2 linked regions of the Arabidopsis thaliana genome follow. The protein of the gene in region 1 interacts with the protein of each later gene in a pairwise test. Each region holds a gene or a part of one and is shown in the gene's direction. Other genes may lie near its edges.

Evidence for each region.
Region 2: the proteins of CIPK3 (region 1) and AT1G71020 interact in a protein complementation assay, tested with the Arabidopsis thaliana proteins (one large-scale study listed by BioGRID).

The regions. Positions count from the first base shown.
Region 1 is NC_003071.7:11,513,307-11,520,229, reverse strand, and holds CIPK3 (CBL-interacting protein kinase 3), read left to right. Parts: upstream 1-1,537; 5' UTR 1,538-1,803; coding exon 1,804-1,829; exon of another isoform or gene 1,830-2,020; coding exon 2,021-2,198; intron 2,199-2,297; coding exon 2,298-2,360; intron 2,361-2,457; coding exon 2,458-2,529; intron 2,530-2,619; coding exon 2,620-2,727; intron 2,728-2,846; coding exon 2,847-2,927; intron 2,928-3,067; coding exon 3,068-3,121; intron 3,122-3,211; coding exon 3,212-3,337; intron 3,338-3,443; coding exon 3,444-3,533; coding exon of another isoform or gene 3,534-3,572; exon of another isoform or gene 3,573-4,022; coding exon 4,023-4,145; intron 4,146-4,223; coding exon 4,224-4,334; intron 4,335-4,412; coding exon 4,413-4,526; coding exon of another isoform or gene 4,527-4,559; exon of another isoform or gene 4,560-4,610; coding exon 4,611-4,667; coding exon of another isoform or gene 4,668-4,759; coding exon 4,760-4,834; exon of another isoform or gene 4,835-4,918; coding exon 4,919-4,996; 3' UTR 4,997-5,527; downstream 5,528-6,923. Other genes in the region: FUS12 (proteasome family protein), read left to right, coding at 34-124, 208-546; COPT6 (Ctr copper transporter family), read right to left, coding at 6,801-6,923. UniProt on the Arabidopsis thaliana protein: Involved in the resistance to some abiotic stresses (e.g. high salt, hyperosmotic stress) in young seedlings, by regulating the expression of several stress-inducible genes (cold- and salt-induced genes but not drought-responsive genes).
Region 2 is NC_003070.9:26,789,447-26,795,203, reverse strand, and holds AT1G71020 (ARM repeat superfamily protein), read left to right. Parts: upstream 1-1,884; 5' UTR 1,885-2,098; coding exon 2,099-2,392; exon of another isoform or gene 2,393-2,605; coding exon 2,606-2,722; intron 2,723-2,813; coding exon 2,814-3,200; intron 3,201-3,290; coding exon 3,291-4,379; 3' UTR 4,380-4,655; downstream 4,656-5,757. Other genes in the region: AT1G71015 (plastid movement impaired protein), read left to right, coding at 5,143-5,369, 5,455-5,757. UniProt on the Arabidopsis thaliana protein: Functions as an E3 ubiquitin ligase.

The DNA.
Region 1 (6,923 bases):
TTGGTTCGTTGCTTCATAGTTGGCTCTCTGCAGGTACAAAAACGACCCTGAGATTTTGGCAATGACAAATTTGATCGCAGCATATCAACGAAATGAGATCATAGAGTTTGAGAGAATACTAAAGGTAAAAAGTGAAGTATTATTGGGTTGTTTTTTCAACTCATTATATATGAAAACGACACTCATGGAATGGTTTTTGGAATGTAGAGTAACCGGAGGACGATAATGGATGATCCATTCATCAGAAACTACATGGAAGATCTGCTGAAGAAAGTGAGAACACAAGTGTTACTGAAGCTGATTAAGCCATACACAAAGATAGGGATTCCGTTCATATCAAAGGAACTGAACGTGCCAGAGACGGATGTGACGGAGTTACTAGTGTCGCTGATACTCGACAGCAGAATCGATGGTCACATTGATGAAATGAACCGTTACTTACTGAGAGGCGACAGTGGCAATGGAAGGAAGTTGCATAAGGCGGTTGATAAATGGAACTCACAGCTCAAGTCTCTTTCTTCAAATATCACCAGCCGAGTCTGTTAACTTGGAAACCTCTCTTTTGGATAGATTTTGTGATTTGGCGTTGATTCTTTGTGGATTATCTGTTTCTCTTCACATAGCTGGATTTGATGGAGTTTATAAACCACTTCAATGCCAAGAAAAAGGATTTGAAACTTTTCTTCATTCTCATTTTTAAAATTGATTTCTTAACTTTGCAGCAACTAGATAGTAATTGCAAGCGATGGGTGATATGCACCGGAACTCTTACAAATAACGTGGATGTCTTTTTCGAGTAAGGTTACGACTATGAATATTAAAAGTGAAACAAATCTGAACAAGAAAATTAGGTTCGAATAATTTAATTAGCTTTTAATTTGTCAATCTTTCTGGATCTTTGCTTGTTGTTACACACTGGCCAGTGGGCCAGTTGCCACTGATTAAATTTTATAATAACCATTCAACTCAAAGTAAACTCTGCACTATAACTCTCATATATCAAATGTCAGTCAAGTTGAGACTGTTAAAGCGAAGCTGCATAAAATGTGTTTGTCCATATAAAAATTGAACATTATTATATATAAAAATACAAACTTATCTGGTGGTATACCATCTAGATTAGATCCTAGTATTGTCCTTTTTTTTTTACAACAGATTAGTATCTTTTACATGTTCAATCTTTTGTGGAAGACAAAATTACTTAAATCGAAAAATCTTGTTAGTTATTGTCACTATCAGTAAGTCAATAAACAAACATTCATCACAAAAACAAAAAAACAAAATCTTCACTAGTCACAACAAAATTCGCCCCAATTCTTTGATCCATTAAAAAAAACTAATATTATCATTTTTAATCATTATTATTTCAGAATTGTTTGGCAAAAATAATTCAACATTAAAAAAAGAAATTTAATATCAAAATAAAATAAAAGAAAAGAAAAGAGAAAACAGATCCGAATTGAGTTCATCATCTTAAAACTTTGAAATCGGTTACTGTGCCTTTTTTTTTTTTTTTTTTTTTAGTGGTTACAAGTTACAAAACTCAAAAAAAGACCAAAGACAGCAATTAATTTTTGTTTCTTTCTGTTCTAAGGATCTTTGTCTGCTACTGAAACTCCTTAAAGCAAAACTGTAACTTCTCACCAAAAACGAATTTTTCCAACAAAAATTTAATAATCAAAATAAATCTTCTTCTTCTTCTTCATCGTTTATCACGACCTCTGTCTCTTCGTCTCTCTCAAAAGCCATTTTAAATCTCTCTCTTTCTCACTCAATCTCTCTGTAGCTATCAGATCTTCTCTTATGTTGATCCCCAACAAAAAATTAAGGTTCTTTTTTGCTTTTTAAATAAGTAATATATATATATATATATATATATATATATATATATATATAAGATTGAGATATTCTCTGTCTTGCTTCTTCTTTACCCTTTTCTTGTTTCCAATCAAATCCTCTAAAGTTTCGTTCTTTGTTCTAAGTTTTCTGAAGGAGTGATATTTGTTTGTGGTGTGGTTAGAGAAATGAATCGGAGACAGCAAGTGAAACGTAGAGTAGGTAAATATGAAGTTGGAAGAACAATTGGAGAAGGAACGTTTGCTAAAGTTAAGTTTGCTAGAAACTCTGAAACTGGAGAACCTGTTGCTCTCAAGATTCTTGATAAAGAGAAAGTTCTCAAGCATAAAATGGCTGAACAGGTTTTTGTTATTATTGAATTATGGATACTCTGCTTTCGCATTGCGGTTTTTTATCGGTTGATTTTGATCTTGCTTGTGTTTTTTTGTTGAATTTTACAGATTAGAAGAGAGATAGCTACTATGAAGTTGATAAAACATCCAAATGTTGTTCAATTATATGAGGTAATTAACACTTCTTTAGATAAATGTGTTATTTGATTATGTACTATGTACTTGGAAATTACTTACTTCGAAATTGTACTGGTTGTTGTTGTTGCAGGTGATGGCAAGTAAGACGAAAATATTTATCATCTTGGAGTATGTTACAGGAGGAGAACTCTTTGATAAGATTGTAAGTTAGTTACCACAATTATAAATGGTTGTGATTCTGTGATGTCACATTATAGTTGTGAAATCTGATAGTGATAACTTATGAATGAAGGTAAATGATGGGCGGATGAAAGAAGATGAGGCGCGGAGATATTTCCAACAGCTTATACATGCTGTGGACTACTGTCATAGCAGAGGGGTCTACCATAGAGACCTCAAGGTACATACATTGTTTTTATAGATGGTAGGACTGAAACATGGTATATTGATAGAGAAGTTACCTATGCATATATTATGTGCAGTAAGCCAGTAATTGACTATTGTAATGTGATTTTGCAGCCTGAAAATTTACTATTGGACTCCTATGGAAACCTCAAGATCTCAGATTTTGGATTAAGTGCTTTGTCCCAACAAGTCAGGGTAATGACCATCTGTTTCCATAAGTATTTTACTGTTCCAAGAAGTGGTTTCATTTTTCCTAAGAACTTACGGATTTTGTTGTCAAAAATTATATACATATATCTATTCTTAAACATGGTTTATATGCTTGGGGATATCAGGATGATGGACTCTTGCATACATCGTGTGGAACACCAAACTACGTTGCTCCTGAGGTCTGCCTAAAACAAACATGATTTCTTTATATCTTATAATATTATCCTTTCATTTTACGTCTTTATAACCGACATCTTTGCGGGTTTTAGGTTCTCAATGATAGAGGCTATGATGGAGCAACAGCTGACATGTGGTCATGCGGTGTTGTACTCTATGTCCTGCTTGCAGGTTACTTACCTTTTGATGATTCTAATCTAATGAATCTTTATAAAAAAGTGAGCAACTCTTTTCTAAAATTCTCTCTTTTAGATGGAATCTTCCAGCAATGCTTGTTTTAGGATTTTTATAACTCCCTTTCGGCATTTTTGTGGTTTGGTGCAGATATCATCTGGTGAATTCAACTGTCCTCCGTGGCTCTCACTCGGTGCCATGAAACTCATCACTAGAATCTTAGATCCGAATCCGATGACTGTAAGTAATTTTTACATGCTCATATACCCCTCTAAATAAAAGGCATTTACTTGTCCACAACTGTTGGAGCGAAAAGCTGTCCATTGCTAAGAATTTTCACACAAACATGAACTTTATGGCTTTTAAAAACCCTTGAGAGTTGAGTAATGAGCTCTATATTCCTTCCTTTGCACCATGATTTATTGTACTACTCAACCATGTTTTCCATTTTTCCAGCACAAAAGGGCTGGAGAAAAAAAGTTGAGGAACCTGTGTTATGCATAATAACATGTACAACTCTATCTGCTTCATCTCTCATTTCATTGCACAGTTTCTGATTGTTCCCTTGTTTTTGGCAAAAATCAACCACTAGTTCTTGGTTAAGCATACTAATCGAATAAACATGTCTTTTGATTACCGGAGAATGAGGATCCTAAACACTCACTATTATTTAGATTGTTTGTTTCCTATGCAATTTGAAGAAACTGAGTTGATTTGGTTTTGTGTCAGCGTGTAACACCGCAAGAGGTTTTCGAAGATGAATGGTTCAAGAAAGATTACAAGCCACCTGTTTTCGAGGAGAGGGATGATTCAAACATGGACGATATTGATGCTGTTTTCAAGGACTCTGAGGTGTGGATAGTTTTTCTTCTTCTTTTTCATTTTTTCTTAACAAGAGCATCACATAACGCATGTGATGATCATATACAGGAACATCTTGTTACTGAGAAGAGAGAAGAACAGCCAGCGGCGATCAATGCCTTCGAGATCATTTCAATGTCAAGGGGACTTAACCTAGAGAATCTGTTTGATCCAGAACAGGTTTGTGTTCTGTTCCTATAAAAGACTGGCTCTCCTGTCTCCATATTCTGAGATCGGAATATTTTATTTTGAAAACAGGAATTTAAGAGGGAAACAAGGATAACATTGAGAGGAGGCGCGAATGAGATCATCGAGAAGATAGAAGAAGCTGCAAAGCCTCTCGGTTTCGATGTTCAAAAGAAGAACTACAAGGTTAGTGAAAACTCTGTAACGGAAATGAAATGAAATGAAAAGAATCAATAACTAAAGACGTCGTAGTACATTACTTGAAATCAGATGAGGCTTGAGAATGTGAAGGCTGGAAGAAAGGGGAATCTCAATGTAGCGACAGAGGTATGTTATATGAGACTGGACATTCAAGAAAGTGTTGGTGATGGTTTATTGAATCAGTGTGTTTTTTGTTTGTATGGTGTGACAACAAGCAGATATTCCAAGTAGCGCCAAGTCTTCATATGGTTCAAGTATCGAAGTCGAAAGGAGACACTCTCGAATTTCACAAGGTAAGTCAAATAGCTTGGTTTCGACTATATGATAGGGTAATTAACTGGTTTATGAGCTAAGCAGAGATGATGGTTTGTTTGCAGTTCTATAAGAAGCTCTCTAATTCTCTGGAGCAAGTAGTCTGGACGAATAACGAAGTTAAGAAAGAAACAGCAAAGTGATGTATGAGAGTTTTCTTTTGGGACAATTCTTGCTTTCTTTGTGTATAAGAGCTTTTTTGCTTTACCGGCTACTTTGTGTGGATGATGAGAAAGGGAGTGGGATTGGTTTTGTGTAAAAGAAAGGTGTAAATATGAACTGCATTACTCGATAAGGTGCTGCGATGCCAGTTATAAAGTCATATCAAAGCTTGTTGGCTAAAAGTTTGAAAATGCCTCATTGCTCTATTTGTTATTCTGTGCCGGCGAAATTTGTCTCGTTTCAAAAAAACTATCTGATCCGTTTTGTCTTTTCTTTTACAACTTGAAGATGGAACGTATCAAAAATGTCATGATCGAAGGACTGCCTATTTCCACTCATAAGGAATTCAGTAACCTTACTATGACGGTTTCAGATCATTATGATAGCTTCATGTCCATCCTGAAGTTATAAGTTTTTAGGGCTTTTCATTTTATATTTACTTATTCTTATTTATGTAAGTTAAGATTTTGTTTTGAGAAGCACCATGATTCAAAGATTTTAGTTTAAAATCATGGCAACTAGTTGGTGCTCTTAAGATGATCTCATCTTCCCTCTTCTGCCTTTCAGGAATTGTCTTGCCCAATTTGGGACTTTAATTACCATTATTATAGCTAGGAACTATGGTTAACTATTTGATGATTTTATAATTGTCATTAGTTTAGTTACAAGTTTGTAACCAAACTGTTTTTTTTTTTTTGTTTTTTTAATTGAAAATTCTTTGATGTAAGTTCCAAAAATGACATGATAGTGTAGAAGAAATAGATGATAAGTAGATTGCGAACTTTGCTTAGTTATCCTCTTTCATGTTTTAATGACTGAATATTGGCAATTTTTAACTTTGTAATTTATTTTCCCATGGAATAACCAAACAAAAATTAAACCAACTCTACGGATATTATAACCGTTTAGGATGAGCTCGATTGGTGTAGAACATATAAGTGGACTTACACTTTTTGTGAGCCAGTCATATTTTGTTATGTGAACTTCTAAGTGAGAAAGGTTCGAAGCATGCGAATCCATTGTTTTGATGTTAGATGTTTTGGGAGATGCATTCAATAAAGAAGCCTTCTTGATAAACAGAGATCCTTGTGAGTTTTGATGTTAGGCTTTAAACGTTCAACATCATTACAGCACCCGTTTTGTTTTGTCTTTTCTTTTTACGATGAAGATCCTTTTGACACACAAAATAAATAAAATATTGAAGGAAGTTCCAAAAATGACATGGATAGTCATGAAATTAATAGTCACAAATGGTTTCTTCTTCTTATTCTTCGTCTAATCTTTTAAGTCTTGATGAAGAAACAGATGATGGTATATTGTGAACTAATATATGGAATAAACAAAATGTTGACTGTCACACATGAATTTAAATTGTTATGGATTTATATCTACGAAACCAAAAGGGTGAATATCACATATGGATTAAGTTTGTCTTAGATATCTATACAATGAAGTTTAATATATTTTAGCTCTTCTTGTCTTCGTGTGTTTTTCTTTTACTTTCTTATAAATTTTTTTGGGTACATACAACGATATATGTGTTTTGTTGATCAATAAAAAGTTCACCTTATCTCGTAGAGAACTAATCGAGTGATGGACGGCGTTTGTTATTTAATTTGTGGTTGAAATTTATCATCTACATGACTACATCATCTACAATAAAATGCAAAAATGGCTATATTCTTCATAAAATTCCAAATTCTAGTCACAAAATATCAAAATTCAAAGAAACGCAAATTAAATACACACAAACGAAATGTTCTTTCCAAGTAAAATAAAGAGTGATCATAGTTGTTCGAAGGGTTTCTCGTCATCAGAGGGGTTCTTGAAAGCAGTGCTTCCGAAGAGCATGAAACCCACGGCGAATCCGGCGATAGCGACAATGAAAACTCCACCGTTAAAGGACAT
Region 2 (5,757 bases), on another chromosome or scaffold:
ATCGTTAATAACTAACCGACGATAACCGCTGCTTATTTGATCAATCAAGCTGTAAGAAATTATAGCTAATACAGCAATGTTAACGGTGCACATTGACGGGAAGTATTAATTAACTCTCTTAAAATGGACAAGTATGTTCATTTTCCTCCAAACTACACTTTACTCTTTATTCAAAAGCAATTTCAAACTCTCGTTTCGCACAAAGGAATCTATAAATACGAAAATTACTTACTAAAGATATAAAGGAAGCAAATTAGTTAACTTATAAAATAATGAAATGTATCGATTTAAGGATGTCTTAAGCATGGAGACTATACGGTCAAATATGCACCAACTAGTACAAACACGTTCACATATATTTTGAACAAAACTCACAATGAATTTGTTTAAAGTATCTTCATACATGCTTAAAATAAAAATTAGAAAGTAAATACATTTGTACAACCGCTATTCAAACATCATCAAATATTAAACAAAATTGCATGACCAAAGAATATGAATGTTTGACAAGTATAGAAGAGGAGATTGTTTGCTAAGAAAATGGACCAATATTTATCATCGAAACTACAATCATCATTAAGGTTGTTTCTACGATTGCGGGATCTACAACCATCAAAGAAGTTGTTTCCACAACTGTATAAACTCTGATCTCACCTTCACTTTCATATTGTTCCGCAAGTACAACTACACCATAAATTTCAGAAATAACGGTGAGTATTGTGGTTAATGGAGAGTTGTGTGTGGATGTGCAAGCAAAAATCACATGCCTCATCAAACACTTCAAGGTTATTAATCTTCATCTGATTCAGACGAATACCCTCTTCTTTATGTAGATCTTTTTATTTTTGCATATGTCCAAAAATAATTATGAAACCAGCCAGTCAAACTTGCCAAAAATGTCTAAAAGATAATGTTGTCTATTTTTCAAGTTGCTATCGGTTGTTATGTAGGACGCAGAAGTCACGGGCATGGACGTCGGCCGATATGATGTGGATGTCGTGGTTGAACCTTTCTTTTGTTAAACCGAGATAACTTTTCAATACAAGACTGTCACAAACTATATGTAAGTCATGTTTATAAATTTTAATCAAAAGTATACTAAACTGTGGTAAAACAGTTTTAAGAAAATTATAGGTCCCAATTTGTATACATGCTTCAAATTATCTAAAATGTTGTTAAAATTCGATCTACCGGGTCATGTTCGACCGTTCCATTTGCAGGCTATATAATACTCACCAAAATTATGTTAATTGACATAATTTTTCTAGAACATTTTTGCTGTAAGAGATATTAAATTTTCTTACACATACAAAGTTATTTTTAAGGGAAAATAAAACATGTAAAGCTATATTTAGTTAATTACAAAGAAGATTTTTTCCATCTTTTAATAAACACTAGGGTAAGACAGATCATATACTAGAAACACATGTCAATACAATGCATCTAAAGGCCTGGAAATTTTATCTTAGTTTCTTTTCAAATAGAAAAAATAACTAATTTGACTATTTATTACCATTTAAGATTACATAAATAATACATACAGATAAATTTCATAACTCCAACATAAATTTCAACACAACTATAAAATACAATCATATAAGATCTACTTTACAACTAAGCACACAACAAACCATTTTCTTCAATAAATAGAAAAGTGGATTTTTTTATTGAATTTAAAAGTATAGTTCATTTCTATTATACAGTTTTGATCTAATATAAATGATAATAATTGATTATTTTTTTGACAACTGTATCATTTTCTCTTCAACCTCTACTTGCACCGTGAATCTCGCTCTCAATTATCTAGTTTGTTCTATTGTATTATTTAAATGTATCACATAAACTTTTATCTAAAAATATAAAGCCAGTAAACTAAAAAGAAAAGAAAAAACCATTTTTAGAGTTAGATAAAAAGTTTAAAACAAAAAACACTAAAACCAAAACGGTGTCGTAACAGCGACTTATCCTTTTTCGCCACATGGCTTCGTTGGATACATAAAAGCGATAGAGACGCATCTCTGAGTCAGAAGCGAGCCAGCGAGAGAGAGAGAGCGAGTCACAAAAATTCGAATTTTAAGCCGCCGTGTGAGACGGCGTAATGGCTGGTGGAGCTATCACTCCCGATTCTCTCATCGGTCTTATTGCTGAAATCAATGAGATTCCGGGGAATTTTGGTTTGTTTAAGAAGGATTGTTCCGATCTCGCGCGACGAGTCGGTCTCCTGACGCATTTGATTGAGGAAATCAGGGATTCTTCTCCGCCGTCGGAATCTGATGCTTCTTCTTCGTTGAATTCTCATGAATGTGATTGGTGGTCTGATCTTGTGGTGGGACTTCAAGCCGCGAAGCGTCTTTTGTCTTCAGCTACTAGTTTCCAAGCTCGCGAGTCCTCTGTAAGCATTCTAAACCATTCTCAACGATTGAAAATGGATTTGTGATTTCACGAAGATTTGGTCTCGCCATGGCAGGAACGTAATTTATAGGAAGAATTTGTTTTTAGTTTTTTTAGATTGGAAGATACTATTGTTGACATTTGTGTAGTGAAGAGCATTATTAATATATACATGAGGAGCTCTCTAAACTTTGATGTGTGATTTTGATTGAAGGATGGGGCAGCCAAGAGGATCTCATTCCAGTTCCAATGTGTTACATGGAAGCTGGAGAAAGCATTAGGTGATTTGACATATGATAGATATGATATCTCTGACGAAGTCCGTGAACAGGTAAAAGTTTGTTCATTATGTAGAATGTATGAAGATTTGGTTTTCCTATCCATGGAGGTGTTTCTAAGGGTTTTTTTTTGCTTGTGATTAGGTGGAACTAGCAAGATTACAGTTAAGAAGAGCAATGCAGAGATATGGATCGTTAAATTCGAAGAAGTTCTCGAGTGGTTTATCTGAGCCAATGGAGAAAGATGCCTCAAGTAATAGAAAAGTTATTGAAAAGTTGGAGAGTATTCCAGAGACAGTGCATTCTTTATCAGATGAGAAGAAATTTGAATCACCCCCTCCTTGGAAGAGCTCTTCAGTATCATTGGCCTTCTTTTTATCAAAGGATGGTGATGATGAGAGATTAGAGAAAGCAGTTACCGAGAACAGCGATGACTCACAGAAATCGGATAATCTCACGATTCCAGAGGACTTTCTTTGTCCAATCTCTCTGGAACTGATGAAGGATCCTGCTATTGTTTCCACAGGACAGGTCTGGTTTAAAAAATCAAATCTTTATATAGTGCTAACGTATGGTTGTTGATTTGAAACCTTAACAATGATCTTCTCTCTTCGTTGGCAGACATACGAGAGGTCGTTCATTCAGAGATGGATAGACTGTGGAAATCTGAGCTGCCCAAAGACACAGCAGAAACTTGAAAACTTTACTCTTACTCCAAACTATGTCCTCAGAAGCCTGATATCTCAGTGGTGCACTAAGCACAACATTGAGCAACCAGGTGGTTACATGAACGGTAGGACCAAAAACAGTGATGGGTCTTTCCGTGATCTAAGTGGAGATATGTCAGCGATCCGAGCATTGGTTTGTAAACTCTCTAGCCAATCAATCGAAGACCGCAGGACTGCGGTTTCTGAAATCCGCTCTCTGTCAAAAAGAAGCACAGACAACCGAATTCTGATTGCAGAGGCAGGAGCCATCCCTGTTTTGGTCAAGCTTTTGACCTCAGATGGTGACACTGAAACGCAGGAAAATGCTGTCACTTGCATTCTTAACCTCTCCATATACGAACACAACAAAGAACTGATCATGCTTGCAGGAGCAGTCACATCTATAGTGCTAGTCCTCCGAGCTGGAAGCATGGAAGCTAGAGAAAACGCTGCAGCTACTCTCTTTAGTCTTTCGTTAGCTGATGAGAACAAGATCATTATAGGCGCATCAGGTGCGATAATGGCCTTAGTGGATCTGCTTCAATATGGAAGCGTCAGAGGGAAGAAAGACGCAGCTACGGCTCTGTTCAACTTGTGTATTTACCAGGGAAACAAAGGCAGAGCAGTTAGAGCCGGTATAGTAAAGCCATTGGTGAAAATGCTGACAGACTCCTCGAGCGAGAGGATGGCTGATGAAGCCTTGACCATACTCTCGGTTCTAGCTAGTAACCAAGTCGCGAAAACTGCGATTTTGAGAGCCAACGCAATACCACCTTTGATAGATTGTCTCCAGAAGGATCAACCGCGAAACCGAGAGAACGCAGCTGCGATACTACTGTGTCTTTGCAAGAGAGATACTGAAAAACTGATCTCCATTGGTAGACTTGGAGCTGTTGTTCCATTGATGGAACTATCAAGAGACGGTACAGAGAGAGCTAAACGAAAAGCTAATTCTTTACTAGAGCTTCTCCGTAAATCATCCCGAAAATTAGGTTCACTCTAAATAGCCCTTAACATGAATTAATTTAGTTTTGCTGGCTATTGATCTGTTTATTATGTCCTGTATCTTATTGAGTTTTTGGAAGACTAATTTAATTTCCATTTGAGGAGAAGGTGGAGTCAAAAGAGTTAACGAGAATCGAACTCTTTGACTCATCTTTGTATTGATTTGTTAATTTTGTTAAAAAAAATGTTTCATATGATTTGATAAAGGTCGTGTGTTGTTACTGTTCCTAGAAAGAGAAATCAAATCAGCTTTTTGTTTTCAAATTCGTTAAAAGTCAATCTCTTCACGTGTCTTTGAGAAAAAATGTTTCGACAACGTAGTTTTCCAGATTAATCGGAGCGATTAACGCAAGTGTCATTTTCTCAGAAAACATTGGTCTCAAAACTTCCAAAATCACATAGTACAAAATATACTATGGTCGAAGTGAAGAACAGTACACATTTTCCATTTCTATTTATAAAATTAAGCATAAATTTTGGGTTGTTATTGGTCTTTTCAAGATTGATAGTGAAATGCGACGTAACTTTTGTCTTCTCATTGTTTTAATAATTTTCAAGATTTTGGCATTTTGTTGACCAAGAAATGGTTCACTATCATCAGCAACCAACCATAAATCAAATCCAAAATCTATAATGATCTGATCTAACACAACACCCACCTTGAACTACTGAGCTCTTAATAGACACCAACCTACAAAGTTTTTTCATCTCATTTGTGAACCTAAAAGATACTAACATTTTACACAACATCATTCACCAAAATGGGAAATAGCTTGGGAACCAAGAAAACAGCGACAATCATGAACATCAATGGCGAGAGTTTCAAACTGAAAACGCCTGTGGAAGCTGGTACAGTGGTTAAAGATTTTCCAGGCCACGTTCTCTTGGAATCCGAAGCAGTGAAGCGTTTAGGAATCAGAGCAAAGCCCTTGGAGCCTCACCAAAACTTGGAATCCAAAAGGATTTACTTCATGGTTGAACTTCCAAGGTATTATATTCCTCAATTTTCTACTTAGTTTTAGGTATCAAAGTTAGAATCTTTTTGAGTAAATCATTTAAAACCCATGTGACAGAACATGGAAAGAGAGAACTCCAAGAAGGGTTCGGTCGGGAATCCAGATGAGTGCGAAGGAGAGATTAGAGAATCTGAAGCTGTCTCGTAGATCATCATCTGATCTCTCGGTAATGAAGAAGAAGACAGAGGTTAATGATGAAGAGAGAGAAGTGAGTAGCGTGAAGTTGAAGTTACCAAAGTGGAAAATTGAGAAACTGAGGAAAGAGAGTGAGAGTGGCTCTGATTTCTCCAACAAGATCACACAACTTTGTCTCCTTCACATACCAAGTGGTTTGATTCATCAAAGACAACATTTGCTTCG